3 linked regions of the Pelodiscus sinensis genome follow. The protein of the gene in region 3 interacts with the protein of the main gene of each other region in a pairwise test. Links are inferred from orthologs where the notes say so. Each region holds a gene or a part of one and is shown on either strand. Other genes may lie near its edges.

The links. The genes of interacting proteins can lie anywhere in the genome.
Region 1: the proteins of KPNA2 (region 3) and NECAB2 interact in binary tests that used the Homo sapiens proteins (3 or more experiments, as listed by UniProt). The two-hybrid records come from large-scale screens. The link is inferred for Pelodiscus sinensis from reciprocal best matches to the Homo sapiens genes KPNA2 and NECAB2.
Region 2: the proteins of KPNA2 (region 3) and NUP50 interact in binary tests that used the Homo sapiens proteins (3 or more experiments, as listed by UniProt). The two-hybrid records come from large-scale screens. The link is inferred for Pelodiscus sinensis from reciprocal best matches to the Homo sapiens genes KPNA2 and NUP50.

Annotation. Positions count from the first base shown.
Region 1 is NC_134722.1:38,260,360-38,270,313, reverse strand, and holds the start of NECAB2 (N-terminal EF-hand calcium-binding protein 2), read left to right. Parts: upstream 1-6,027; 5' UTR 6,028-6,063; coding exon 6,064-6,288; intron 6,289-9,954. UniProt on the Homo sapiens protein: May act as a signaling scaffold protein that senses intracellular calcium.
Region 2 is NC_134711.1:123,431,449-123,441,233, forward strand, and holds the start of NUP50 (nuclear pore complex protein Nup50), read left to right. Parts: upstream 1-5,858; 5' UTR 5,859-6,057; intron 6,058-6,066; exon of another isoform or gene 6,067-6,372; intron 6,373-9,641; 5' UTR 9,642-9,652; coding exon 9,653-9,721; intron 9,722-9,785. UniProt on the Homo sapiens protein: Component of the nuclear pore complex that has a direct role in nuclear protein import. Actively displaces NLSs from importin-alpha, and facilitates disassembly of the importin-alpha:beta-cargo complex and importin recycling.
Region 3 is NC_134730.1:20,963,515-20,973,450, reverse strand, and holds the start of KPNA2 (importin subunit alpha-1), read left to right. Parts: upstream 1-6,046; 5' UTR 6,047-6,201; intron 6,202-7,128; 5' UTR 7,129-7,173; coding exon 7,174-7,248; intron 7,249-7,357; coding exon 7,358-7,495; intron 7,496-7,911; coding exon 7,912-8,000; intron 8,001-8,616; coding exon 8,617-8,885; intron 8,886-9,936.

The sequences.
Region 1 (9,954 bases), on a different chromosome or scaffold from region 3:
AGATATCAGTTTTGAACAATACAGATCCCTCCCTACCCCAGAAGCGAAAGAAGACAGTAAATCCCCGATACACAAGGTATATACATTACAATAGATTGAATGTAGACAGCCGGTGCTCATGACATTAATGCTTTGGCTAATTGTAAGCTGCAGCGGAGGAGCAGGGAGGAGATCCCATGATAGTAGATTACAGGCTCTTCCACTCTGGTCTGGTCAATGAGGACTCCTAATGGGCAGTGGCTCCTGGACTCTGAGGTGAAGGACCTTCCATACTTCACTTGTAATCCAGCGTGCCCAGATCTTCACTGTCTCGGTAGAATCACTGACAAGGGACTTCTCCACAAGCAGCTAACTCAAAGACAGCATGTAGCCCACAACGACACTAATCCAATCTCATTCGCTCATGACAAACAGGGATGACAGACAATCCATTCACTCGGATCCAACCCTAAGGACAGGTATAGATCAGGGAAGGAACGAACCCACCAACCAACCTGAACTGGGCTTCAGCAGGGGGTTTTATTAACCTTAAGGCGGGAAAAGAAGTATGAGGGCTGAGTGCATAGTAATGTTGGGTGCAAAAGGGGCTGAGTGCAATTCTGAGCAGGGTGCACAGCTCCTAGGGACGTGTGCAAAGAAACACGTAAGCACCGAGTGCAAATCTGTGGTGAGTGGAAAACAAGGCGGGAAACCTTTGGCGGGAAACCCATCTTGACAGGAATCTAAAATGGCATCCCCACAGACTCCATTTTGAAAGAATAGCTAAACATTAAAGCCCAATCATACTTATCATACTTTTAGGTATAACACCCTGCCCCCAAGCTCTCATTGGCCTGGGGGTGGGAAAGCATGCGAAGCCTCCTCCTGTCCTGTGAGGAACGCGCTGCACTTTGAAGTAGGGCAGAGGAAACTTTGTGCGCTTCTCCAGCCTCCTGGCTCTAATTAACCTGGGGCTGGGGGAGCGTGTGAAGCTTCTTCCTGCCCTGCTAGGGGCATGGGTGCTTAGTGGGAAGGAGGTGCAATGGAGCCCACCCACCCTCAGACCAATCATGGTCTGTGGGTGGGGAAGCCTGGAAGCATCTGGCCCCGCACTCTTAAAAAATGTTTGAAGTGCCCCCAGTCAAAAATTATTGCTCACCACTGGGTTATACTATGTGTGCTTGAGCGACGAGGAGTCCTGTGGCACCTTAGAGACTAACTAAAGTGTAGGAGCATAAGCTTTTGTGGGCAAAGACCCTCTTCGTCAGATGCATGTCAAATGTGTGCTTGGTTAGTGCAATAATAGGAAAGTTAAATAATTAAAAATAAAATGTTAGCAAACCCAAAATGGAGCCAAAACTATAGCTTGTGAATGTATGTTTGCTGGCCTGGATCCCTCCATATCAGTACCCAGGAGTTCAGGGCCCTGCTAGGTAAGGAACATGAAAACCAAAATGGCCATTGATCAATAGGCTAACCTAAGATACTTGTAGGAGCACAGAAGGCATAGCTATATTTTGGTGTTTGCTGCCTTTGGTATACTGCAAGTCCTGCAGTCTCATTATTGACTGCAATAGCTAGAGGATTCCGCAAGAGGGGAACAGCTATTAAAAGTCTCCATGAGGATTTAGAGTTGGCTGGCATAAGTTCAGGGTCCATCCGATTGAAATTAGTTCTGTGTATCTTGCTGGTTCTGCCTAGGCCTGTAATTAACATTTGCAAATTTCAATGAAATTCATGCTGGCTACAGGATGCTGGTCTGTTGAAAAATGTTACCCTGCTTTTTATTCTACTATATTTCCAATTAAGTGGTACTCTGTATCCATTAAGCTTTCAAAGCAACTGGGAGCTGTCAATAATATCACTCTCTGCTCTGGTGAAAAAATGGAAAAATCTCTCTGCATATTGGTATCTCAAGAGAAAACAAACTGCTTCCTTGTTAAAGTGCCAGGTATGGTAAAACAAGCGAAATGTACCGTTAATAGCTAGGCATTAGGGCAGTTTGAGTTAGAGTTCATTTGCCATTTTATATTCTTCTGACAACAGTACGAAGAAATCACTGCCTAAGGTTTCAAAGAGAATGCATATGTAGCCACATACCAATGCTGACTTTTATGGGAGCTATTTGATTAACTCTCTCATGGCCCATTGGGAAATGTAGCTGTCTTGTGTCTAATTTCACTCTGAATTATCTGCATTTTGCCATTTAGCCACCAGTTACATATTTCCCTCCTAAATTCAATGCTCCCATGAGCATTGTATGTGAAAAATACATTGTCCACCACCTAAATTTAGCTGCCCCATGGAAATTGCCAATGTTTTTCTAGTGTCACTTCATATTACCAAAACATTTTTTCTAGCATGTTATGCTGGAAGGCAGTGTTATTTTGCCACATGTTGTATACAGAACCCAAAGTTTCCAGTGTGAATGAATTCTCATAACAAACTGCTAGGAAAAGGCACTGGAAAGACATTATTTGTAAATGTATTCAGCGAACAATTCTTAATAACAAATAAATGCGAGATCATCATGAGCTGAAAATGGAAAATAGGATAACTAACTGAATTACTCACATATGCATTTAGCAAAGATGGCATTTTTAAGGAATGGCTAAAGGGCAAAGATAAACATATGAATATTTGGAGCAAGTAAATACCATTGAGAAAGTGGCATAATTTAGTGAACGGGGGTATAATTAGGTATATAGAGAAGTTTATGGTATTTATCACTACTGCACAATCTGCTGAGCTATGGAATAATCTCTCAAGAGAAGTGTTGCCTCTCTTGACATACTTTAAAACTACTGATTTAGAAAAAGTACACTGTGGAACAATTGCCCACTAATAAGGAAGACTGGCTTGACCAAACTGATCTTTTCCAGCTCCAAATTCTTTAATCCACTCAAAATTCCAACCAGAATGGGCAACATGGCCAGTCAAATTCCATCCCACAGCTATTTTCTAAGGGAGATAGCTACTGCTTTGGGAAAATCCAGGAGATGGACCGGATATCACTGAAGTCCCTTTTACACCTTGCTCAAAGAAAGGATAAGATATGAACCTTATGTCTTCTCTTATGGTTTCTTTGCTGTAAGGCTTATGGTTATGTGGAACGTAAGTGGTGCATAGGTATCATGCTAGCCCCATCAGAGGAATGAATTTCACTGTAAATGAGCACAGCCCAGTTAGCATATTGCAGGCAGTTTCAATAAACCAGATTTTTTGTCATTAATTTTGAGTTGCTGGGCAAAAAATAAATTCTGCAGCCAAAGTACTGCCTAACTGAGGGGGTACTGAGGATGAAAGTAGTATCCCACTGCCAGTCTTTATGTGTGCTCTATTTATAACACATTTCCGGAGCCCACTGCTATTATATGCTTATTCCAGCAGAGAGAACTGAGCTCCTCGTCTCTTGTCTTCAAGCAGCAGCTGAACACCTACGCTTTTGAAATGAAACAATAAAAAAGTTTCTTCCTGGTTCACTTGATCAAAGAAAAGATGAAGCAAGAAGTAGACTTCTGTATGTCTACACAGGGGATTTGCTCTGGAGTGGCTGCTTTAGTGTAACAGTCCCTAGTGTAGACAAACAACACAGTCCAATGCATGGGCTCCCATTATAAAAATACTAAATGATAAGAGAGAGAAAGGAAGAGCAATTAATGTGCAGGTTGGATCAGGCCTTTTGTGCAGGAGTATCTTGGATTATAACATACAGTGACTCTCAAAGTGGGCGGAGGTGCAGAGATCAGCACAGAACCTTAGCAATGAAATTTTCATGAAGGAGCCCGGACAGCTTCAATCTATGTCCATGGCAGCCTGCTCTTAGTATAAGGGCCAGGGCAACACTGAGGACCACCAAATAAAAGGAGGCTGGCTAGCCAAGAATCCTCAAAGGAAGCTTGGAGTGTTCATATTAGCCTAGTACTCCGGAGCCAGTACCCTAGGGCAGAGATTCTGGAATTACTACCAATGTTCTGTATAGTACTTCTTTGGTGATTTATGGAAAAGTGGCTGGTTATATGCTGTTGGGTGGCTTCTTTCCTTCCAGGTACAAAGTTGCATTAATGCTGTGAAAAATTTCTTCCATGTAAATGCAATTGCAATAGCTGCCGCAAATGTTTGCTCTAAGGGTATGTCTACGCTAGCCTCCTAGTTCGATCTAGGGAGGCTAATGAGGGCAACCAAAATTGCAAACGAGTGCAGGATTTAAATATCCCGTGCTTCATTAGCATGTTCCCGGGTGGTCGCCATTTTAGAAATTGACTAGCCCGAAGTAACTGCCCGCGTCTACACGCAGCAGTGAAACGGGATTCTGAATAAAAGCCCTAAATCGAATTAGCTCGTATTCCTCCTGCAATGAGGTTTACCAGCTAATTCGATTTAGGGCTTTAATTCGGAATCCTGTTTCACTGCCGCGTGTAGATGCGGGCAGTTACTTTGGCTAGGCGATTTCTAAAATGGCGACCACCTGGGAACATGCTAATGAAGCACGGGATATTTAAATTCCACGCTTCGTTTGGGATTTTGATTGCCCTCATTAGCCTCCCTAGATCGAACTAGGGGGTTAGTGTAGACATACCCTAAGTGGTCCCTGCATACACAGCCCAGAGGGGAGGTGATCAATGGCATGCAAAACCATGATTTTTTTCTATTAAGAGTGGGTGCATTAAAATGCTTTGGAACTCCCCAGTCATAGAGGATCATGGAACAAAGCCTAGTTCTGTCTCAACTCAGCCAACTACAAGCAAAATATCTTGTAACACGAAAGGAGGTAGCCTTGAGGACACCATTAATATTTAAAACATATATGCATATTTATATGATTTATGTATATCTATAATGATGAATCATTTTGAAATAGCACACTGACATACTAATAGCAAAATAAAACAAAGTTCACTGGAATTAACATCAAAACACAGCCTGATCTGCTCTGTGCACTGACCCTAGCAGTACACTTCTAATTAGAGATGACTCCATGAGGTTTACAGTGAGAGAGTCTGGAGCTGCCCTTTGCTGCTTGGGTCAATCTCTTCTCTTAATTTTCTCCATTATTGTCCTTTCAGTTTGTATATTTTTTGTGTGATCAGTCTGTGCTGGTAGGAAGCTGAAGTGGGTTAATGGCCGTCTGGCAAAGGATTTATCTCTTGTTCTGTGTTTGTAAACAGCACAACGTGTCTCTCTTCACAAGCAGCATTATAGGACTAGTAATATTTGTCCAGTTGAGCAAGGCAGGTCGCTTAGCAGCTCTACAAAGAGCCAAGTGAACCCAGCTGGCTGGTTTTGTTAGGGCTTTGTGTCCAGAGGTGGAGGTAGGCTGCATTCTGAGTTGCCCTGCATAAAAGAGTTGAAATTTTTGGTCTGGTAATGATGAAGACAAAGTAGAGGTATTTTTAAAATGCAGCAAATTGTCTCCAACAGCTTGTGGGAGAGAGAGCTCCTAGCTCCTTCAGCAGGGCCACGCAACCCAAATGCGTGTGGTATTGTGATCCTGTGTGCCAGGTCATAGCACCAACCATTCCAGTTTGGGCTGTCAGGACGAGTGGATTCTAACCCTGAGTGTGGCAGAGGACTGGAGGCTAGTGCCTAGGGCTGGAGGCCAGGGCTCTTGCCTTCTCACCCTAGAGGCTGCAGAGGAATGGGAGGGGGCTGGGAGCCAGGGCTGGGAGCCAGGGCTCTTGGGTTCTGGCCCTACAGGAGGCAGAGGAATGGGGGATGGGGTCCAGGGCTGGGAGCCAGGGCTCTTGGGTTCTGGCCCTAGAGGTAGCAGAGGAATGGGGGATGGGGTCCAGGGCTGGGGGCCAGGCTCTTGGGTTCTGGCCCTAGAGGTAGCAGAGGAATGGGGGCTAGTGCCTAGGGCTGGGAGCCTGGGTGCTGAGGAAGGGGCCGAGGGCTGCAGCGCCGACCACCCCGCATAAAGCAGCGTCCCCCACTCTCCCTCCCGGGGGACCCCTGAACCCGGCCCGGCTGCTCCCCCGGGAGTGCGCAGGGAGGGGTTTGCGGGCGAGCCGCGGGCGGCTGTCAGGGTGATGCAGCCTGTGTGGGAGGGGATACCCCGGCTCCAGCATGAGGACTGTGTGAAAGATGTGCGAGCAGGCAGCGCGCTACTGCAGGGAGAGCGTCCACAAGATCCTCCACAAGCAGCAGCCGCAGCTCCGGGGGCTGGACGGGCTGCTCCGCTGGATAGTCACCAAGATGAGCGACAAGAGCATCCTCTCGGAGCGGGAGCTGCCGCTGGAGGGGCAGGCGGCCGCCGGGCAGGGCTTCTGCCCCCCGGAGCAGAGGAAAGGCACCTCGGTCATCCTGGATGTGAGTTCCCGCAGGGCACGGGCAGCAGCGAAGGGGCCCGGGCCGGTGCGAAGAGCCGCAAAGTGGGGGCGCTGCGAGCTGCCCCCGGGCCCCCTTCGCACGGCCCCGCTTCCGGCTCTGCAGCAGCGAGGCCGGGCAGGGAGCAGGTGGGGACCCGGGCGGGGTGGGTCTTGCTGGGGCCGCAAATCTTGCCAGGCTGGGTGCAGCTGGGAGGCGAGCGGCCCCGGCCCTGCGGGCTGAGCGGGAGCTGCTGAGCCCGGGGCAAGGCGGCCGGGTCAGTGGGGCAGCCCTGAGATCTCCATCTCTCCCGCGCCTGTGGCTGCCAGGAGTCGCCACCGAGCAGCCCGGGACAGTGCCCCCGGCCCGGGCTCACTAGGGGCGTTCAGTGCCCGAGCCAGCCTCGGCTTGCGGGGGAGCCGCCTCGAGCGCCTTTCTGCCGTGTCAGTGTCTCCCTCCCCCTTCTGTCGCCGGGACAGTCCCGGCTTTTCCTCCCAGCGTGCCTGCCGACCTGCAAAGAATCTGGTGTGTGGCTCAAAGCTGCAGGGAGAGATGGGAGCCAGAAAGAGTGAAATCGAGGTGGCCCCTCCATTCAGACCAATATGTTAAGGCAAACACCTGCTCTGCAGTTTGAGATTAGATCCATGAGGCTTGTTTGTGCTCTTTTCTGGGCAGGTTCTGGCACTTTTACAACACTGAAACCGAAGAATAGTTCCAGGGTTCCCAAGCATGGATTAAATTGCTTGTTTATCGGTGTGATGGAATTGCACTTCAGTTTTGGGAAATGGACTATCACATCCAATATATTCTTATTGAAAATTTAAAAAAAGCACAATACATGGCGTTTTTTCTGGTACATTTCCTACAGTGAAATTATAGTTTTCAGTTGAGGTGCATATATCTCTGGGGATACACAGAGGGCTTCATTTAGATACTAACCTAGTTTTACAATAGGCTCCAAAAAGCACTAGTAAGATCAGTAGAAACTAAAATTTCATACAATGACTGATTTATACTGCTTTATCTCCTATACAGTGAAATGTAAGGACAATGCTTATATTCCAATTGATTTATTTTATGGTGCAAATGATTATTTTATGGCATAAATGATAAATACAGAAAAGTTGCTTGATGGTGCAGTGACACTTTTTGTACGTTTCTCTGATTTTATAAGTCGTTTTTAAGTGAGGTGAAACTTGGGGGTACACAAGACAAATCAGAGTCCTGAAAGGGATTCAGTAGTTTGGAGAGGCTGGGAGCCACTGCTAAATAGTGGATGTTTTTGAATGTTAAGCCTCACATGAGTTTGATGATTTGGCATTTAAAGGTACATTAAGCATTAGATATTTCAATCTACATGAAATCTGTGTGGCTATGTCTGCACAGCAGCATTATTTAGGAATCACTGATGTTATTCTGAAATAACAATGAGTGTGTCTACACTGCAAGCCATATTTTGAAATAATGGCAAGTCGAAGGATTTCTTACTCCAACTCCTGTAACACTCATTTTATGGGGAGTAAGGGAAGTCAAAGGAAGAGTGTTCTTTCTTTTACTTCCTGCTGGGTAGACAGAACCAAAAGTCCAATTAAAATATTTCTACTTTAGTTACACAATTGATATAGCTCAAGTTGCATAATTGAATTTGGCTTTTACCCTGCTGTGTAGACTTGCCGTATTTGAGATACTTAAATATGAAAGAAAAGTATAGGAGATATTAATTGTAATAAAATCCTTGACAGTAAGGGATACATAGTAAATGAGTTCATTCCAACCTTTGGGGTAGATTTCTTCTCTCAACTAAGCAAAAAATTAGCATATTCTTACATTAAGCAGAAGTTTTTTAAAAAGGGAATTTGTTACAGAATAAAATAACTATTAATCTCCCAAGGCTCAGGCAAGTAAATTTCAGACAGGAATTAAATTTAATTTAGTAATTAAATGAATAACTTGGGGGAAACATAGCCATTCTGTATCAGGCATGAATTCTAGATTCCTTTGAAAAATAAAGGTGATTACACAGATTACCTTTTGCAGTGTTCTTTTCTTGAGAGGTTAGGACATGTTCTCATTATGTGCGTCATGATGCTTGTTAAATATAATTAGGTTTTCTCAAATTTTCTTCTCTGCTGTTCTTATGACTATAATAATCTCAATTTTTAATCATAGAATCCTAGTATAAGAACTTAGGTAATTTAACAATCTTTACATCTCATGTTTATCCATAGTCCTATTTCATACCAGTTAAATAACTTGCACCTCTACAAGTAAACTTTGAAACTTTTCTTAATAGCATTTTCACCAAAAATATAGAACTCTCTGAAGAATAGTGAAACGAAAAATTAAGGACAGGTATATTATGACTTTCACACAGTTGTTTTTAGCACATGCAAGTAGTTTGTGACATTTATGTCAGTATTGTTATGGAATGTGTATTTAATACTTTTTAATATTTTCTGTTAGCTGTTTTAGTAAATTATTTGCATTTAAATGGAATTAAAAGAGAACAGAGTTGGGGGGGGGGGGGGCAGTACAGGCAACTCCTGAAGAAAATATAATGAAAACTGTTATATTATAGTTTCTGATATGGTGGCATGTAATAAATAAAACATACACATCAGTTTTGCAGTCTTCCATCTTTAAAAAAATATAACCATAAACCTGTAGTGATCATAAAAAAATAGCTAGTAGCTAGAGTCTGTTAATATCCCTGAGTCCAAACCAACAATATCTCTTCTATACTAGTCCATAGATTTCCTGACAAATCTTATTGAATCATGCCATAATCCACAACAGGCATTGGCACCTGCAAGAGACAACAAAACTCACTTTATTTGTGATCTAAGCCCAATTCTGGGCTCAAATTGAAAGAGACGATGGGTTTATGAGTTAATTAGTTGTGTCAAATTAATCTTCTTCTGATTGTCTTTGGCCTAAGTAATACAATTAAATGTTGCTCCCAATCTACATTTTAGTGGGCTGCCATTTAGAAATATTTGATGTATAACATCTAATCAACTAATGTGTTTTTGTGGATCTGATTTTTTTCTCTCCATCTACTGAAAATGGTTACCTGTGATACCAGCATAGATGATACAGTCACTCAAACAACAGTATTTTGCCCTGACCAGGTGCCCCATAGGTGGAAAATATTGTCACAGTTTTAAAACACACATTAATGTTAAGTTCCATTAAATGTCCTAATTTTTTTAAAATGGAAAAAGAAGATATTTGATATGAGAAATATAAACTTGTAAAATTTTGCAACCACAGAAAAATGAAACAAATGATAATGCACGCCACATTCATCTGTATCTGAATCATTGTTTTGCTTTTCAGTTAGATCGGCTTTTTTGCATTATCTCTTATGTGTTTGAAAGTAGAATTGGGTGAATTCTACAAAATCATTTCAGCATTTTTTTTTTGTTCTTTAAATGTTTGCTTTATCTTGGTTATTTATAACTATAGCAAATACTTCACCGGAACTTCCACTATCATAGTTTCTTTGCAAGAATCTCCTGAGACAGTTCTCACGCAACAGAGCTTACAATCGAGACAAATTAGACAAAGGATGGGGGAAATGAAATATTATCTCCATTTTACAGATCTGAAACTTAGGGTGCAATGAAATTTTTCAAAAAAAAGTCTGTAGGAGAGCTGGGAATGGAA
Region 2 (9,785 bases), on a different chromosome or scaffold from region 3:
TGGCCAGACACCCCCCATGGAGAGGAACAAAGGAAGGTGGAATGCTGCTCTGGCTGGGGGGCAGGGCTGGAAGTTAGTTAGTGGGTTGCTGGCTGTCTGAGAGCATGGAGGAGAGCCTAGGGGAAGGGGCTGGAGTTTAGGGGCCCAGTCTCCCCCATCTCAAGGGGGCCTGAGGCATCCTAGCCCAGATCTGTGACCAGACTACATCTGTGCTGTGCTGTATCCTGGAGAGGCAATAAACTTCCTCTATTCCACCGGCTGGTGCAGTCTGTTTGTGCCATTTCGGGGTGCAGGAGACGGGGGACCCCAACGCGCCGTCACAGCATGCCAGCAAACTCAGCAATGCTCTAAGAACCTGATATATAGACTCTAAAGTCGTATGTGTATATCTGATTGCTTTGACCATTTAACAACTCTCTTCTCTTCCTTTTACAATAAAACCTTCAGTTTTAGATACAAGAGGATTGGCTGACAGTCTGGTATTCTAGGTAAAATCCAAATTAATATTGATCTGGTCATGTGGCTGACCCTTTGGAGATCAGAAGAACATTTTGTATAGTGAATAATGTTTTAAATAACTCCTTCCCTTACTGGACCTCTTTGCAGATAGGGAGCTGGAGAACTTGGAATTCAATAAAGGGGACTGTGTGAATTCTTTTTAGTTTCCAGATAGCCAGTGTGAGGGAACAGGAGCCCAGTTTGTGACTGGTTTGTGAATTTAACTACAAAGTTAGTCATTAGTTTTGGGAGAATCTGTTCTCATTTTGCAGCCTGCCCTTACTTTGGCATTTTCAGTGTGGGCTACTCTAGACACCTCAGGTCACAGAGTGGACCTGATAACAGTGTTCAAATATCTCAAAGGCTGTTCTGAAGAAGACAGTGTTGAATTGTTTTTCCATGTCCTCTGAAGGTACAAGAAGAAATAATGGGTTTAATCAGCAGCAAAGAAGATTTAGGTTAGATAGTAAGAAAAGCTTTCTAACTATAAAGGCAGTTAAGCCCTGAATAGGTTGAGAAGAGCATTTCATCACCTCCTATCACTGGAGATTTTTAAAAACGAGTTGGACAAACACCTGTCAGGGATGGTTTAGGTTGACTTGGTCCTGTCACAGTGCAGGGGGCTGGAATGATAACTTCTCAAGCTCTTGTCCAGCCCTACATTTCTATGATTCTATGCCACAGCTTCACTCATCTTAAATTTGAACTATATTCTTTAACTCTTTCATTCACACAATTTTATGGGTTATATATTGATCTCTTAACGCAATACAAAAATTGGTGCGACTTAGCTGAAAAGTGTAATAGAGGAACATTTCTGCACTTAGCACCAATAAATACACTACCACATTACTGTCATCTGCTTGGTTACAGATTCCTTGACCAGTTAGAGCATTTTTCAGAGGTACCCTCTCCAGATCTTTCCTTCAGAAAGTCTCTCTGCTTCCTCTTTCCATTCATCAGCAAGGCTCCCATCTTGCTCTCACAGACATTATGCAAAACGCAGAAAACACTTATCACAAAAGGCATATGTTGCTCATCAGTCTCCAATCTTGTCAGGAGGCAACTTTCCTTCCATATTCCAATGTACACTTCAATGTCATTCTGCAGTTGATGTATATTTGAGCATCTCTTTTGTCTTGTCCAAATGCCCAGTAAAAGCAGATAAGCAAAGGGGAAGCTAGGTCTCCCAGAATGACAAAAGACATCATAACTCTATTAATGCCTATAGTGGTCTAGGGAGCAAAAATTCCCTGGACTGATTCCAAAAAAAAAAAAAAAAAAAAGCCTAAGTTTCTAAAGATCACCTCACATTAACATAAGTGAACCTTCCTTGTCAATCAGCCAGGTCTTGAGGCACTATGAAGAAATATACCTGCCTGCTGAGAAAGTCTTTAGCCTGATATGGGGGCAAAGAATAGCCAAAGATGGCCATCAATAGTTCCATTACAGTTTGGGACCCTCCCATCTGTCCAAAAACAAACTAACAACCCCTCTGCCAAAACCCGCTATCAAGAACTTCCCATGTATTGCCAACCTTTATTACTCAGCACAGCAGCATCCTCTGAATAGCACAACAAATATCCATATCAATTGACCCATCAGCTTTTCAATCAACACTAAATTATTTAGCCAATTGTTAGCAATAAAGGATGGCAAGCTTACAGAGAGTGATAGACATGCATCTCTTCATACTGAGTATAATGCTCATGAAGGTGTTCTATCAGTGCAATCCTGGCACAAGTTCTGCACAGATCTCCAGGAAAGTAGCTTTCTGCAATATGAACTCATGTAAACATGGCTGATCATTGCATTATCTTGTCACACCAGTCTCTGCCAATTGACTAAACCTAGAAGCAGCACTATACTGAATAAAGCTGCTCCAGATAAATGCCCTGCAGACCTAATTGCTTGAGTTTGTCCTCCTGTTCTTCCTGTACCTGAAGCCATATTGCTGCAACATCCAAAGCTGTCTGAAGTAAGTTCAACTGAGCAATAGCCACTACATGTGCATTATCCTGTTCATATAAGTCATTGCCATAATCTCAGGACTCAGAGGGTACGAGAGTACAGGCTTTTGTCGACAGAAGTTTTGTCGACAGATACTGTCGACAAAGAGCGTCTAGCCTACATCCAGTTCTGTCGAAACAGCAAGCTGCTTTGTCGACATGACAGTGTAGATGAAAGGACAGTGTAGATGCAATAACGCCTTCTGTTGACAGAACTCTGTTGACAAAAGGCGTTATTCCTCGTAGAATGAGGTGTACAGCTGTTGACAAAACTGTCAACAGAACTCAACAGCAGTGTAGACACATGTATAGTTTTGTCGACAAAAGCCCACTTTTGTCAACAAAACCCTGTAGTCTAGACACACCCAGTGTGTCCTTGGTATATGGGGGCCTTTGTCTGTTAGTACTCCCTCGAGGCATGATGGTGAGCCACACCAATCTCACTTGATCACCATTATGTCTCCATACCCAAGTCTGCAACCCTTACTGAACAAACATGACTTGGCCACAGTGATCCACGCTCTTGTTATATCCCGACTGGATTACTGTAATGCACTTTATGTAGGGCTGCCTCTAAAGAGCCTTCAGAAACTTCAACTGGTCCAGAATGTGGCTGCTTGAGTTTTAACTAACACTAGTTATACAGAGCACATTATGACAGTGCTTCAGCAGCTGCACTGGCTTCCAGTATGTTTCCAGGCACAATTTAAGGTTTTAGTTATGACCTATAAAGCCTTAAATGAGTAGGGTCCAGGGTATCTGAAGGACCATCTTCTCCCATATGAACCAGCCTGGGGACTGAGGTCAGCTGGGGAGGCTGCGCTTCGTGTTCCCCCACTTGTGGAGATAAGATTAACATCTACGAGGAACAGGACATTTTTAGCTTTTGCTCCCAGGCTGTGGAATTCTCTTCCTCGGGATATTCGCATGGCGCCAATGCTAGTGTTGTTTCAGCGTCACGCTAAAGCCACCCTTTTTACTCATGCTTTTATTAATGTTTGAGTCTGTATGTGTATTCCTCCTCTCTATAGCTACGTCTAGACTGGCATGATTTTGCGGAAATAATTTTAACAGAAAAGTTTTTCCATTAAAAGTATTTCCGCAAAAGAGCATCTAGATTGGCACGGATGCTTTTGCGTGCCAATCTAGATGCGCTTTTGCGCAAGAAAACTCCAATGGCCATTTTAGCCATCAGGCTTTCTTGTGCAAAAAATTAAGGTGCCTGTCTACACTAGCCCTCTTGCGCAAAAAATTAAGGTGCCTGTCTACACTGGCCCTCTTGCGCAAGAGGGCTTATCCCTGAGCGGGAGCGTCGAAATATTTGCGCAAGAAGCACTGATTTTGTACTTTACAAAGTCAGTGCTCTTGCGCAAATTCAAGCGGCCAGTGTAGACAGCTGGCAAGTTTTTGCGCGAAAGTGACTGAAAATAAGCAGCAGAACGGCTCTTACGCAAGAGGGAGTTTTTGCGCAAGAAGGAGCAGTATAGACTGCTCTTTCTTGTGTAAAAGCCCCTTGCGCAAAATGGCAGCTTATTAGGTATGCAAATGAGGCACGGCGATATTCATCATCATGCCTCATTTGCATATGTTATAGCACAAGAGAGCACAATGTAGATGTAGCCTCACTGTAGATGCTATAATTCTTCTATCAACTTAATTTACGCTTTTTGAAGAGGTGTATTAACTCCAGCAAGTTCTCTACCAATTACTGCTGTCCTGCGTTTATGGTGATCATCACTGTCAAGAAGAGTGCATACATTCCAGGATGCAAAATGTAGTTTCTGTTTAGTCATTGATTTTCTTTTGTGATCACAAAACTGGATATCCAGTCAGTCATGGCTAACTGACAGGAATCAACTTGAACAAGCTGTGTTTAGGGTTTGTTTTCTCTCCCTCTCTTCTTTTAAAGAAAGCAACGCTATCCCTAAATAGGGCGGCTTTGCCATCTGGACAGGATACAGAAGCTGCTGTTGTTCCAGTTCAGCAGCCAGATGACCATCACACCCGAGCCACCTATGTGCAGGTTTATGGCTAGATGCTTCCAGTGGTGTCCGCCACCTGCATCCAAATGTCACTTGCTCATCACCATAGAACTTTTGTCAACAAGAGGTAAATCTTTAGTGTCAAGAGATATACCATCACACATGAATGGATTTAAGTGAGACTGGCTTGTGGGTTCTAACACCACTCTCTCATCTCATACCGATCATTGTACACAGGCACAGGAACTGCAACATGCGCACTGGAAGGAGAGAGTGCATGTTTCAGATCAGAGTTGCCTTCTCCTATACAGATGTGACTTAAAAAGGCTTAGTGAGCTCTGTCTGTCTCTGTTTAAAATCAGAGTTTCCCTTCTCCTTGGTACTGTCTGTGGGTCCATGGCACCTTATTCCATATTATTCAGCACAAACCCTCAAGATCACTTCACAGAGGCCTTCCTCAGTAAAAGCTTTACCAGCATTAAAACACACATTGTCAGCATTACATATCAAAATGCACAATGTGTATAGCCTCAAAATCAAATCCTAGTACGTTATCAAAAAGCATTTTCTTTACTGTGTCCAGCTATAAATTTTGGTGATTCTCAATGAAAACATTTTTTCAGCTTGTGTGCAGAAAGTGAAATTGATGTTTACCAACATTTCATTGATAAAAATATAACTCCTCCCAACCCTGTCTATACTACAGGACCTGGATGAGACCCTCCAAAGTTATTCAGACTCCACAACTGGCACATCCCGAGTATAATATTTGACCCAGTTAAGTGGAGAGCCCTAAGCAGCAGTAAAGGAGCCACAGTAGCCAGACAGAGAAGGAGCTCTGTAAACAGACAATCCCTGCCTTGATCTAATCTGCATGGAAGTGACTGAGCAGTGAGTCACCAGTGGCTACGGGCAGGCAGGGCTGATGTGGCTGCTTTTAGTAGGGCATCCATGGGGCCCCCGTATATACCCACAGCTGTCACCCCACTCCCAGAAACACACATCCTGGCAATTGAAATTCAGGGCCTCTCAAGTCATCGGGGCAACCTTCAGAACAAACTTTCCTTAGTGCTTTTTACCCCTCTGATACTTTGTTAGTGCTTGTCGTCTTGGTAGCCTGTGCCCGTCACGGGACATCAGCGAGACAAGGCGAATGAGATAAAATATATTTTATTGGACCAACTTCTGCAGCTGCGAGCCTGATTATCAGAGCCCCTGGGTCACCACACCCTGCTCCCTCCCTCTGCTCCCCCGCCCCCCGCGCAAGCTGGGGGAGTGTCCCTAGGGCGCTCTCTATAGGCCAGCAGGCTGCTTGAGACACGTGACCCAAATTCGAACGCGACCTAACCCCGCCCCCTCCCTTCCCCGACCGGCTCAGTGGGACGGGCGGACCGGGAGACGCCCAGCGCATTGGCTGGCGGTGGCACGCGACCAGCATTCCAACGGCCGGGCGCGAGTCACTTTCGGGAATCTCCGCCCCCCACCCCCTTTCTCTACTGCGTTTGCGCCGCCATTCCGGCCTGGCTGCTGCCCGCCGGCCGGCAACAAGAAGTCGGGCTCAGGCTGGGGTGAGTGCGCATGCGCCGGGGGAGGCCGGGCGCCGGGACGGTTCTCGACGGGTTTCCCTCCCGTGTTTCAACGAGCGAGTTCCGCGGCGGTACCACAGTAAAATGGCCGCGGGAGGAAGCCGAGTGGGGGGAAGGCCCTGATCGGAGCGCGAAGGGGACTTCCTGTGTCGGGGGGTGGGCGAGAGCGCTCGTGGCCCTGCGACTCAGACTCCGCCTCCTCCGGAGCCTCGGCCCCGCAGCGCTGCGAGAGGCGCCACCGTCCGCTCCCCGCCGCCCGCCCCGCCTGACTGCTGGGAACGGGAAGCGACGAGAGAGGTAGCGGCCCCGCGGAGGCGCCCCCCTCTCGCCGGCGCTGCCCCCCCCGCCCCCTCTCGCCGGCGCTGCCCCCCCCGCCCCCTCTCGCCGGCGCTGCCCCCCCCGCCCCCTCTCGCCGGCGCTGCCCGGGCCTGGGGGCGGAGGACGCGCCCCTTTGCCGGTACCTGCCCCTGTCCTGGTCAGCGCCCCCCTCCCCGGCAGCGCGGCGCGCGCCCATCACGCTCTTCCCGGGCCTGGAGTTGCCCGGGGGGGGGGGGGGGAAGAGACACTTGCAGCGCGCGCCTCTCAGTAACGTGCAACCCTAATCGGCCCCCTCCCCCCGCCGCCTTGGCCTGTAACGCCGCAGTGGCAGGGTGGCTGCTGGCCCCGCGATGCCGGGGATGGAAAGACTCCTGCTGCACAGACCTGACGGGGGGGGGGGTGGGAAGAAATCTGCTGTTACTTTTCTATCCTGCTGGTTGCAGAGAAACAGTGTTGCAGCTTAACCTCCTTCATCAGGAGTCTATTTCATTACGTATTTTAATGTGCACAGGAAGTAAATTTCAGGCAAGCTAATGCTATTACTATCAATCTTCTTTTGAACAGTGAATCTTTAATAGGTCTCACTTGTTTGATGCCCAGAGATCTATTAGCAAACCATCAGTAAGCTCAAGATATGAAGGCAAGAGGGGGTTTATGTAGAGAGGGTTTTCTTAATAGTGGAACTTCTGCAGGGAGGAGGGGAGGTAGAGATGTCCTGACTGGTGCACTTCTCCCTTTGAAATGTACATGAGACACAGACAGCTCTTGTACATTTCTCAAAGGGAGAGGCACTGCAGGATAGCCTGTGTCTTCCTTATCGACTAGTTGATGGAAATCGCAACAGCTACTTGATTAAATCTAATTTTAATATCCCTAGATGTGTTCATATAGAATAGGAATATGGTATAATTAAGACATCAAGAAGTGTATCATTTAAAAAAAATATATACTTGTCCTTGAAGGAGTTGAGCTCCACCATCCTCTTATCAAAAGCAAGGTAGTTTTGATGATGGTAAATTGAAGTGGTACATTAGTCTCACTTGCTTTTGTACTGTGAAATATTTGACAAACTGCAAAATGACATCCTAGTCATTTTTCAGTATGACAGTCTTATAGAAATTTCACTTAATTGTAGAAAGTGTACAGTTTCCCATGAGGTTGAATCATGTTGAGATATTGAAATTTGAGATTCGCAGAAAGTTGAGATGTTGAGTTAAAGAATACTCTAAAACTTTACTCCACACACTGCATTAAATGCCTAAGTTCTTACAGGTAATTAATGTTCCTCTAATCTTTTCCATCTATGTACAGAATTTTGTGTGTATCAAGGCATGTGTGAATGTGCACCACCAACAAACAAAAAGCTCTAGCCAGCTGTCCAGCATTTAATCTGAGAGGCTGCACAAGTGCACTTCTTACAGCAGTGGTCTCCAACCTTTTTACACCCCAGATCACTTTTTAAATATCAGAACAAGCCGTGGTCTGCCGCCCCATCCTTCAAGACCTCACCCCTTCCTTGAAGCCCTACCCTCTCTATTCTCCTCCTCTCAGTCACTTGCTATCCCCAGCCCTTATACAGTCTACGCTGCTGCTCTTTTTTGGTACTTCTGTAGGAAGAGATTTTTCCAACATGTGGCCTGTCTAGACTGGACCAAGTGTCATAAAAAAACCTTTCGGAAGCCCCCTTATTCCTCGTGGAACGAGGAATACATGGGTTACCGAAAGAGTACGTTTGCTCTTCTACTAAAAAAGGTGGAAGAACAAACGTGTCCTTGAATGCGGAGGAGTTTTTCTAGCCATACCCCCACTGGGTGGAGACAGGATGTGGGCTCTGGGATGGGAATGAGGGATTTGGGTGTGGAAAGGGGTAAGTGGTGTAAGCTCTGGGAGGAATTTGGATGCAGGAGGAGGACAGCTCCCAGTATGCACCTCCTCTGGGGAGTCTTCCCCATCCTGCAAGTTCTCAGCACATCATAGACCTGGGGGAGGGAAGCAGGAAGCTGGCACTACCTCCATTGTCACTGGAGGTAGGTAGTGGGGCTTCTGAGGAGTGGGGCTCCCAGAATCAACGGGTTGGTGACCACGGACTTACAGGGAACACTGCAGGCAACCTATCTCAAACTTAATTTTTTAAATGAGCCTTCCAATTGTTCATTTTAAATTACTTTTAACTAAATCAGATGTCACAATATAACCAATACCAGAAATTTACATCAGTTTCAGACCCATCTAAATTAATTTTTAGATGTTCTTCTAAAGATTGGTTTAAATCTCAAAATTAATTGTCCAAATTAAATTTATGAATCAAGCCAAGGAGAATCGAGAATGAATTCATGAACTCTGGTGTAATGGTGCTGTAACTTTTTTGAAGCTTCTTGGTAATTTAATTGTTTATAAAAATGTTTTAATATTTGAAAAACTTTTAGCCTCAACAATAGAACCGTAAATGTTTAGATCTTATTGTAACTCCCATCTCTAACCTTTTAAAAAAGCCCCAAGTCACCACAACACTCCTTCCTATATAAATAGTATATAATTCTATAGGGTTTTTTTAGTTTACAGTTAAATCTATCAACAATTTTGTCAGGGTATAATATAGGCAAAATAGTTTAATTTGTTGGCGTAAGTATACATTTTCAGAACATCTTGTGCTAAATTGGAGTGTAGAAGCTTTCAGCTATTAGATGCCTGGCATACCGTATAAGATTCTTACACTGCAGTGAAGACCAATAAAGTGATTGTTAAGGTGAAATATGAACAGGTTATTTTCCCTCTCCCAGTACATTTCAGAAGTCACTAAGTGTCATGCTGCCTTACTACAGTTTGGTGTTTGAAACAAAGTGCAAGTTTCCCAACTTCCTAAATGTTTCCGCAGTTTGGTTTCAAAAGGGCAACATATTTGACTCTTCAGTAGTTATTTTTAGCTTAAAATTCTACAAGTTTTCGAGAGTGTGCACTTCAGATGCAATTAGAGGTTCTTACACATGTAAAAGCAATGTTACACACAATGTCATAGTAATTCATAAACTTAGTGTCAAATAGTAACTCCTGCACCTTGTGTGATACAATATGCTGTAAATTGAGCCTCCAGTGTGCATAAGTCTTCATTCATATTTCCAGTTTTATGTGATTTCTATAAACCCTTTTTATATTAACACAAAATAAAGATCGGACTAATTTTTGGTTTCTCTTTAAAATCAGTTTGATGCTCTTAATAGAGATTGCTGATTACTGAAATTCTTGCACAGGTGTGGGAAAAATGGCAAAGAGAATTGCAGAGAAGGAGTTGACTGACAGGAATTGGGATCAAGAGGATGAAGCTGAGGAGGTAAAGTTTTGTTTTTGTTTTTTTGCATTTCCAAGCAAGAAAATAAAATGACTTGGACAAAACA
Region 3 (9,936 bases):
CTGGTAGGCCTGTGAGCTACCATATGCATCTGTGGCGTTGTAGTAAAAATAATAATCTAATTAAAGTATGTGGTTCAGTGGCTGTGACTCTATCACTGCCTTTAACTGTCTGAAATTTGAACTGTGGTACTGGTCATAGGGTTTAATGTGCTCAAGTTTCAGATGTTATCACAGGGGTTCCAGATGTGTTGGGGAAAATGGAATACTATATAGTCAGTGCTCTAGATCCTTGTAGTTCTTGTGGGGTATTTCAACATATCCAAGGAAGATTAGATGCCAATTATAATTAAAAAAAAAACACAAGAATTTGACTTCTGTTCTAAAAGTTATCCCATATATATATAATCTGTCTTGTATTAAGATTTGGCAATTTCATAAGGCAACTCACAGTGTCTTTATGCTATTGATTTGGTTGATCCTTATTAATTAGCATTCAGAATTAAGTATAGCATACAGACTTGTGTTGATTGATGCTTTTCTTCAAGAGATTAATTTAAAAACAGGTGTCCGTGATAATGTTATCTATATCAGCTGTCTTTGATATTGTGGATCATGAAGTGTTGATGATACACCTATCCTGTGTGAGGTGAGTTTTTTGGCTATTTTGGATGTTTCATACCTATTATGAGAAACAATGTTGAATTATTGACCTTGCTAGGATGGTTAATGACTTTATCACTTCTAGTCTAAATTAGAAGTTCTACATGGGGCTGTACCTTCAATCCTCCCAGAAGGGAAAGCTAGCCTAAAGGGTGGTGGCTGCCCTCTTGTGTATGTATCCTGTCATGAGCAGGATGCTGTAATACTTGTCCTCCATGGACTGCACATTGCTTTTCACATAACTCAGAACAGAACCCTTATGGCTTGAGACCTTTTTTACTAGGGATTTAAGTGACTAGTCGACTATCCAATAAGCATATGCTTATCGGATACAAGTGGGGCTCTTGTTACATTTCAAAAGAAGTGCCATGGGAGCAGGGGGTGAGTGGGGGACCCAAGTAGTCCCCCGTGCGCTCCCTGCTTTTGAAATGTATTGGAGGGGCTCCTGTATGTTTCAAAAGCAGAGCCCGGATGGGGAGCAGGGAGCCAGCAGGGCTCTTGTGCATTTCAAAAGCAGGGAGTGCAGAGCCAGCTGGGGACTAATTTGAATTCCCCATTGGCCTCATGCTTCCGGAGGGGCTTCCGCCTTTGAAATGTAACAAGAGACAAATGCAAAGTGCTCCACTAAGGAAGGACCAGTCAGTTTCACACATACAGAATGGGAAGCAACTGTCTAGGAAGGAGTACGGCAAAAAAGGATCTAGGGGTTATAGTGGACCACAAGCTGAATATGAGTGTGATGCTGTTGCAAAAAATGTGATGCTGTTGCAAAAAAAAGCAAATGTGATTCTGGGATGTATTAACAGGTGTGTTGTGAGCAAGACACAAGAAGTCATTCTCCCTCTCTACTCTGCATTGGTTAGGTCTCAGTTGGAGTACAGTATTGTGTTCAGTTCTGGGCACTGCATTTCAAGAAAGATGTGGAGAAATTGGAGAGGATCCAGAGAAGAGCAACAAGAATGATTAAAGGTCTAGAGAACATGACCTATGAAGGAAGGCTGAAAGAATTGGGTTTGTTTAGTTTAGAAACGAGAAGATTGAGGGGGGACATGATAGCAGTTTTCAGGTATCTAAAAGGGTATCATAAGGAGGAGGGAGAAAACTTGTTCATCTTGGCCTCTGAGGATAGAACAAGAAGCAATGGGCTTAAACTGCAGCAAGGGAGGTTTAGGTTAGACATTAGGAAGAAGTTCTTAACTTTCAGGGTGGTCAAATACTGGAATAAATTACCCAGGGAGGTTGTGGAATCCCCATCTCTGGAGATATTTAAGAGTAGGTTAGATAAATGTCTATCAGAGATGGTCTAGGCAGTATTTGGTCCTGCCATGAGGGCAGGGGACTGGACTTGATGACCTCTCAAGGTCCCTTTCAGTCCTAGTATTCTGTGATTCTAAGAGCAGGCAGGGCTCTTGCTACATTTCAAAAGTGGAGGTGCCCTTATCAACTAATCAAATGGACAATGCAAATTGCATCCACCATTCAATTAGCTGATTAATCTAAATTTAACATTCTTACTTTTTACCTGAAACACTATTTTTCACTCTGCACCAAATTGCTGTTGTTTTGATCAGGAAAGCTACTCAACTTGACCTAGAGCTTCTTTGCTACATGACAGTGAGCTGCTGGCAGTGTGGTCTCCCTTCAAATTTGGAATTTTCTCTTTGCTAGATGCTAAATATGCCAAATCTTTTTACTCTTTTGGACATATACTGCAAAGCCTCTACTTTTGAGCTGGCTTTTGTGAGTTTCTGGGGAAGTCTTAGTAAACTAAGGCCTAGTATGTTTTTTATTTGGATTCTGGGGGTTGGAGTAGGTTGATGCTCTTTTGATTTGGTGTTTAGTATGCAAGTAGTGCATCTTCAATCAATTTACTTTAAATCCCAGTAAAGAGCAGCAGGTATTCTTCTTTAGGTCCAGTGCCTCCTTTGGTTTGGAGTCTGAGGGTCTTGGTTTTGCCAAGAGCAAGGAGGGAGGCACAAAGGGTATGGCTTTGGGAATGTATACACAATGCTGCCGCAGTCCTAGGCCAGGCTGGCTGACACAGGCTTGGGCTGAGGGGCTAAACATTGCTATGCAGACAGTCAGGCTCAAGGAGGAGTCTGGGCTCCATCCTGAATCTGAATATCTACCACCTATTTTACATCCCAAGTCAGCTGACACAGGCCAGCCATAGGTATTTAATTGTTGTTGTGCACATGTGCCCTACAATGTAATATGAGCCCAGGTTTAACAGAACTCAAGTTAGCAGATCCTCAGTTTGTTAAACTTGGGCTTGAGTATTTACACTCATCTGAAACCACAGGTAAGGAATGGTTGAACCCTGGGTCCCAATCTGCAGCTCCAGCATCTACACTGCATTATGTAAATCAGTGTCCAATCATCCGTATCCCAGACCTCCTATCGTCTTCCCAAAATGTGGGTGTTTCTTTGTTGTGAAGTTTCAGAAAATCTGACAGACACTAAACTTGACTGTCCAGAGGACAAAGGAAGTTAGACCATGAGAGTGTGGGATACCTGATTGCCACAGAAAGAGTCCAATGGGCTTGAACCCTAGGTCTTGGCTAGGACGCCCAGTTTTTTATCGGAAAGTATAGTGGAAAAGGGAACCTGACAGTGACCATTCAGATCTGCTGACTGGACACCCAAAGTCCAATTACAGTGGTTGGGGGAGACACCAGATCAACACTCAAAGTCCTTATTCAGCTGGGTGGGTGATGATCTGATGTTTCCCCCAGCATCAGGGGGCTGCAGCTCCCTCGTGACCTGGGTGGGATGGGAGTAGGGGGCAGAAGAGGGAAAGAGCAAAGAGTGGAGGGGACAGCAAGAAAGAGGACCAAATGGGATTGGACCTCAAGAAAGAGGTGAGATAGGGGCAGGTACCTCAAGAGAAGAGAGGATGGAGGAGGTTCTGGCATGCCTGCTGTAGTGTCTGGTTTTTAAATATTACAAAGTTGCTACCTTAGTCCTGGCTTCACTGAGCCTCAGCTGCTCCACCCCAATGTGGTCCTGAGTATGAACCCTCAAATAGCGTGATTTGTGTGTAGACAGAAAATACTTGAGGCTGAGTTTGAACCCTGGGCTTACAGTGCTGTATACCAGTGGTTCCCAATCTTTTTTATACCATAGCTCGGCAAACCGCTAACATTTTATTTGAATATTTGCACACTCATTATGTGAATAATGAATATTCAAATATGCAATAAAATGCTGCTGGTCTGCCAAAAGTTTGTGAATGGGTATGCTAGTCCGCATTATAAAAAGCCCAAGCCCCCAGAACTCCTCAGTGCCAGCCCTAACACCTAGAGGCCCCCACCCCTCCACTACTCCCCCAAACCAGACACTGATCCCAGAATCCCCTGCACCCAACCGCCCCCCCCCCCCCCCGTGCCAGCTTCCTGCTCTCAGAGTCCCCAGTGCCAGTCCCCATCTCAAATGCCGCAGTGCCAGTCCCCCCTTAGAGCCCTCCATCACCAGACTCCCCAGTGCCAGCCTCCTGTTCCGGAGCTCCACTGCACCCAATCCTGCTGGGCCTCCCACACCCCGAGACCCCCAGTATTAGCTTCACCCTCAGAGCCCCCCCATGCCAGCCCCCTGCCTCTTAGAGCCCCCCCCCCAGCACCAACCGTGCCCCTGGACCTTCCAGTGCCTGCTTCGCCCCCCGCCCTGAGCTGCCTCCTCGCTTCCAGCTGAGCACTGCTGCCCAGGTTGTGGCTGCTCTAAGCGTGCCGTGCTAGGCTCCGCGTGGCCCTCCCACTGCACAGTGAACTGATCTTCTGCAGCTGGGGGAGACCTCTCAACAGCTGTGGTGTGAGGGGAGGCCCTGGGTGGTGTACCTAAGTCCCCACCCCCAGAGCTTCCCTGGCTCACCATTGGTCTGTGGACCGACGGTTGGGAACCACTGCTGTATACAGTTCTGCATAGCTAAAGCATGCAGTAGATTTTGGTGACCAGGGGTTTGGTCATGCTATAAGGCAGAGGTTAATGTTACCATATGTGAACGTTCAAAAAAGAGAACACTCCTGAGAGAGAGTGTATCTGTATCAGTAGCTACCAACTCATTACGGCTACGGCTACATTGGCAAGATTTTGCACAAATACTTTGAATGCAAGAGTTTTTGCGTTAAAGTATTTGCGCAAGAGAGCATCTACGCTGGCATGTGCTTTTGTGCAAGAGATGTGCTTTTGCGCAAAAGCATCTGTGCCAGTGTAGATGCTCTCTTGCGCAAGAAAGCTCTGATGGCCATTTAGCCATCGGACTTTCTTGAGCAAGAAATTCATGTTGCCTGTCTACACTGGCCTCTTGCGCAAGAACAGTTGCACAAGAGGGCTTATTCCTGAGTGGGAGCATCATAATTCTTGCGCAAGAAGCCCTGATTTCACACATTAGAATGTCAGTGTTCTTGCGCAAGAACTCCCCGCCAGCGTAGACAGGCAGCAAGTTTTTGCGCAAAAGCACCCACTTTTGCACAAAATCATGCCAATGTAGACACAGTCATGGTGTATTAGTATAGTGTAGATACAGATACACTCCCTCTCAGGAGTGTCCTTTTTGGTGTCCTTTTTTGAAAGTTCAAACATGGTTAACCCTAGTAGAGATGGGGAACCTTTTTTGGGTCAAGGGCTGCTGGCCCACAGAAAAAATCAGTTGGGACTGCACACAAGAGAGAAGCAAAAGAACAAAAACAAAGAAACAAAAAAGCATAAAACCCTCACTAACATGGCCCACAACTGAGGAAGACACTTCCCACATTCCCCTTGCACACCAGAGGCTAGGGGAGCCCAGCCTAGTAGATTTTGTGTGCTTCAGCCCTGCAGTGGGACAGCAGCACGGTGGAAGGGGGTCAGGGGGAAACTGGAGCGCAAGCAAGGGCTCATCAGTACTAAGGGGTGTGGGAGGACTGAGCCTTGGGAGCTGGATCCAGGCAAGCCAGGGCACAGGGCCATATCCAGTTCCTGGGCCTGAGGTTCCCCACCCCTGCTATAGGATGTGACCCTGCAGGTGTAAAGGGGGGGAGGTAAGAGCAGAGCAATGATTTCCTCCTTCAGGCGTCACTCAACCTCCTTGCTACTGAAAGCAGATCGTTTGGACCCTTGAAGTCCACATAAGAACTGACCCTGCGGGGACAACAAATCCCAGCATCCCATGCTCCACAGTCCTTCGAGCAGACAAGGACCCGGCCGAGCATTGCATGCTGGGAACTGTAGTCTCTTTCGGGCTTCTGGCTGCTAGGTGGCGCCTTGCGTGCTGGGGGGATCGGTATTCTTGGAGGCGCGAGCCGCGCGTTTCTACGCTCTGTAGCGCGTTTCTACGCTCTGTGACGTGCAATCAGACCTCTCCATGATCCCGGCGGAGTTCTCGTGAGATTCCCCACCCCTCTCCCCCGCCGCCTCGCGAGAAGAGCTTGCTTTTCAAACGGACCCATGAGAATGTTGCTTTGGCTCGAACTGGCCAATCGGAGAGCGAAGACGCGGGAAATTTAAATCCCGCCACGGGCGGAGTCAAGGCAAAAGGGGCGGAGGCGGCGGCAACGTGTGCGCTGGTGCTTGGCCTGGTCGAGTCAGAGGCTGCGCCGCAGGGACGAGCAGCGATCGCTGGTGCAGGTGCGCGCGCGGCGGGGGGAAGGTGTCTCGTGCGCTGAATTGGGAGGCAGTGGGGGGGGGAGGTTAAAGAAAAGGGGGAGCTGAGGGGCTCTAGGGCGTGTGTTGGAGCGGTGGGAGTGGGGGGGGCAGGGCTGTGTGTGCTTGTGAGGGGGAGATTCTGGGGCTGTGTGGGGGGATGGGCTGGAGTTATCGAGGGTGAAATGCGTTGGGGGTTTCGTATGGGTTGCACAGATAGTCGGGTGGGGGACCGTTTCCCCCCCCCCCCTTTGCTCATTGCAGGTTACTAAAGCGATGGGCGATTCCTAGCCCGCCACTCTCCTAAGGAAGGCACTGGCTGGGTTGCTGGCTTATTTTAATTCGCCTAATATATTCTTCAGGGTGCGACTGTGGTTGCTTCGTGGTGTTGGTTTGGGGCTTGGTTTAGCCTCCACACGGAGCGGAGATCTGTACCCCGTTATAAATGAAGCGGCTGCGCTACGCTTGGGGTGTGTCTGCAAAATGGCTCTCTCCCTTTAAAAGGCCATTGTCAAAGTGAAATCTAGTCAGTTCCGTAAAGGGAATCGAAATTTTAACCCAGGGAGCTGTAGATCCTGTAGCAAATCTCTTCTGTTTTGTTGGGGGGAGGGGCGGAAGCTTCCTTGTCACTGTGCCTGAATGATCAGTGGTGTTTGCAGAAGTAATTAATGTGATTATACGTTGATAGCTGCAGAAAACCTAAAATGTATAATTTTTATTTGTGGTAAACTTACGTATCACTTGTAACAATAAAAAATGGTTGTCTCATTTGAAATGAGGCAATGCTCCTTGTTTGCACATTATTCCACCTCAGGTCTGGACATCCCTATTTCTAACTCCCATCTTGATTTCAAATGCATATCTTTCTCTAAAATCTAAGTAAGTTAGATTTGAGTTTAATATGTATTTCAGGTCTCTCTCTTCTGTTGATATTGCCTGAGTCTGACTACTATAAAAATGTCTACCAATGAGAATGCTTGTGCAGCAGTTGCTCGTCTGAACAGGTTCAAGAATAAAGGAAAAGACACTACAGTGAGTATCTTTTTTTTTAACTGGAGTCTGTGCTCATCAGTGTTTAAGCATAATTTAGCCCTTTAAAAAAGAAAAGAGTTCCTCATGACGGCATATCTGCCTTTCTCAGGAAATGAGGCGGCGGCGCATTGAAGTCAATGTAGAGTTGAGGAAAGCTAAGAAAGATGATCAGATGCTTAAAAGAAGAAATGTCAGCATTCTCCCAGATGATGCTACTTCACCTCTTCAAGAAAATCGAAACAATCAGGTAACTAAATCTCCCAGCTTCATCAGTGGATGTGTTACAATGGATGTCTGTGGTACCATATAATTGTTACCAATTATAACAGAGTACATAGTGCCAAATCCCTGCTTGCATAGCCTCAGACTGCAGGCTTTGTCTACAGTTGGGACATGGCTTTAAACACTGTCTATGATAATACTAACTGGTTGCAATAAAATGAATTAAAATTCATGTTGTCACACCTAATAACTGTCTTTTCTAGGCTAGACAAAATTATGGCTGATAAGGATTCAGAATCCCATTATAATTGGACAATGCTCCATTTTTAATTTAAGTGCCTTCTTTTAATAGTCTGCCTTGTGGACTGCTGAGAGAGCTTTTGCTTTACTATACAGACACCTTTTTCCCAACATAGTCTTAAGTTTCTGTTTCTCATGCAGGCCACTGCACACTGGTCTGTTGAAGAAATTGTCAAAGGAATTAACAGTAACAACTTGGAGCTGCAGTTGCAGGCAACTCAGGCTGCCAGGTAAGAACTTTCGTGATCGGATTTGCTGGGAATTAGCTGATTTCCTCCCCCTCCCCCCCCATCAGAGCACAAGTTTATAGCAAATACTTGTTAAAACCTAGTTCTGTGTATAGAAACCAGCAATATTTTAATCTGCTCTCTGAAGTAAATGTTCTTGGAATTGACTTTAGTCAGCATGGAGACTAGGGCCAAACTGAATTATCACTTAGCATCAGTATACCCTTGAATAATCTAAGGTGTGGCCTGGTGCACACTAATTATGCCACTGATTCTTAGGTGTGACATAGAGGTGCTGCTCTCTGTACATTACAAGATCTCTCTTGAGCAGTTCAGATGCATTTGTATTGTTGCAGCACCATAAAGCATTTCACTTAAGTTACTCAACTGAAAACCTCTTAAGGAAAAATTTCCTTAAGCAATTTTAACTCTTTAAAGCTTCCTAGCTAGCTAATGTTCCAAGTGATCGGTAGCTTATCTGAACTTCTCAGTGCATTGTGCTACTTCCCCTTTTGAATTTTTTTCTTACTTTAAAAAATAGTTCTCAAGCTTTGCTGGAATCTACCCTAAAGATTTTAGTGGACAAAATATAACTCCCTTATTTTTTTTCCTTCCTTAGGAAACTCCTGTCCAGAGAGAAGCAACCTCCAATAGATCATATAATCCGGGCTGGCTTGATACCAAAATTTGTTGCCTTTTTGGGTAGAACAGACTGTAGCCCTATTCAATTTGAATCGGCTTGGGCGCTTACCAACATTGCCTCTGGCACATCAGAGCAAACTAAGGCTGTAGTGGATGGTGGGGCTATACCAGCCTTTATATCTCTGTTGGCTTCACCTCACACTCACATCAGTGAACAGGCCGTGTGGGCTTTAGGAAATATTGCAGGTATATCCATGTAGAGCTTGATCATTGTTTTCAGCCCTACTTCCTCAATGCAAGGGGAAGAGAGCCAATTGGGGACAGACTTTCAACTGAGGAGCTGTTGTGTGCAATATGCCTGACTATAATGCAAAGCTTGTAAATTCATACATAGCAAGAGTAAAATAGTGATTCAGATGAACACTGGGACAATTATTTTAGTACTTTAATCACAGAAATTGTTTAAAATTGCTTGGATTAGACAGCGGGTTTCTGGGGTACCTCCCTATTCCTTTTGTGTAATCTCAACCTTAATTGAGGTTGAAGTAACTTCTTTTGATGCCTAAAATCTAAATCCTTCAACTAGCCAGAGTGGTAGATAGGGCTGTTGGCTCTCTGCTGTATGAGGTTAAAAATTCCAAAGCGCTTCATGACCAGCATAAAACACAATCAAGAATCTTTAACAGTCTTTGTTCATGGATGGTCTATGGTAGCACTTCAACAGCATTAAGTTCACTCTGATTTTCATGCAAAATCATGGTGCCATTTCTAGGATGTTAAACTTAGATTAATCAGCTAATTGAATAGTCAATGCAATTTGCATTGACTATTCAATTAGTTGATAAGAATGCCTCTCACCTTTGAAGTGAACAACTGCCCTGGGGCTGTTGCTACACTTCAAAGGTAAAAGTGCTGTGGGGGATTCTCCAGCTGGCCCTGGGCTGCATATAGCACTTCAGAGTGGCAGCACTGTGTAGAGACAATGTTCTGGCCCTGGGCTCCAAGTGGCACTGCTGCTTTGAAGTACCCCTGCTGCCTCTTTCTGATAAGAGGCAGCAAGGGGGGAGGGAAGTGATCAGTCAACTATCTGATAAGCATTTGATTATCGGATAATTGACTAGTTCACATTAGGAATGTTAAATGTCGGTTAATTGAATAGTGGAGTAACCTCCTGAATTCTTATCAGTTAACTTTTCTATGGTGCCTGTGGGCAAGGCCAACAGCCAGTGTGTCTCACTCCCAAGGAGCCCTCTGCCACTCCGTGCTGCTGCCTCTAATAGAGGCAGCAGTGAGGGGG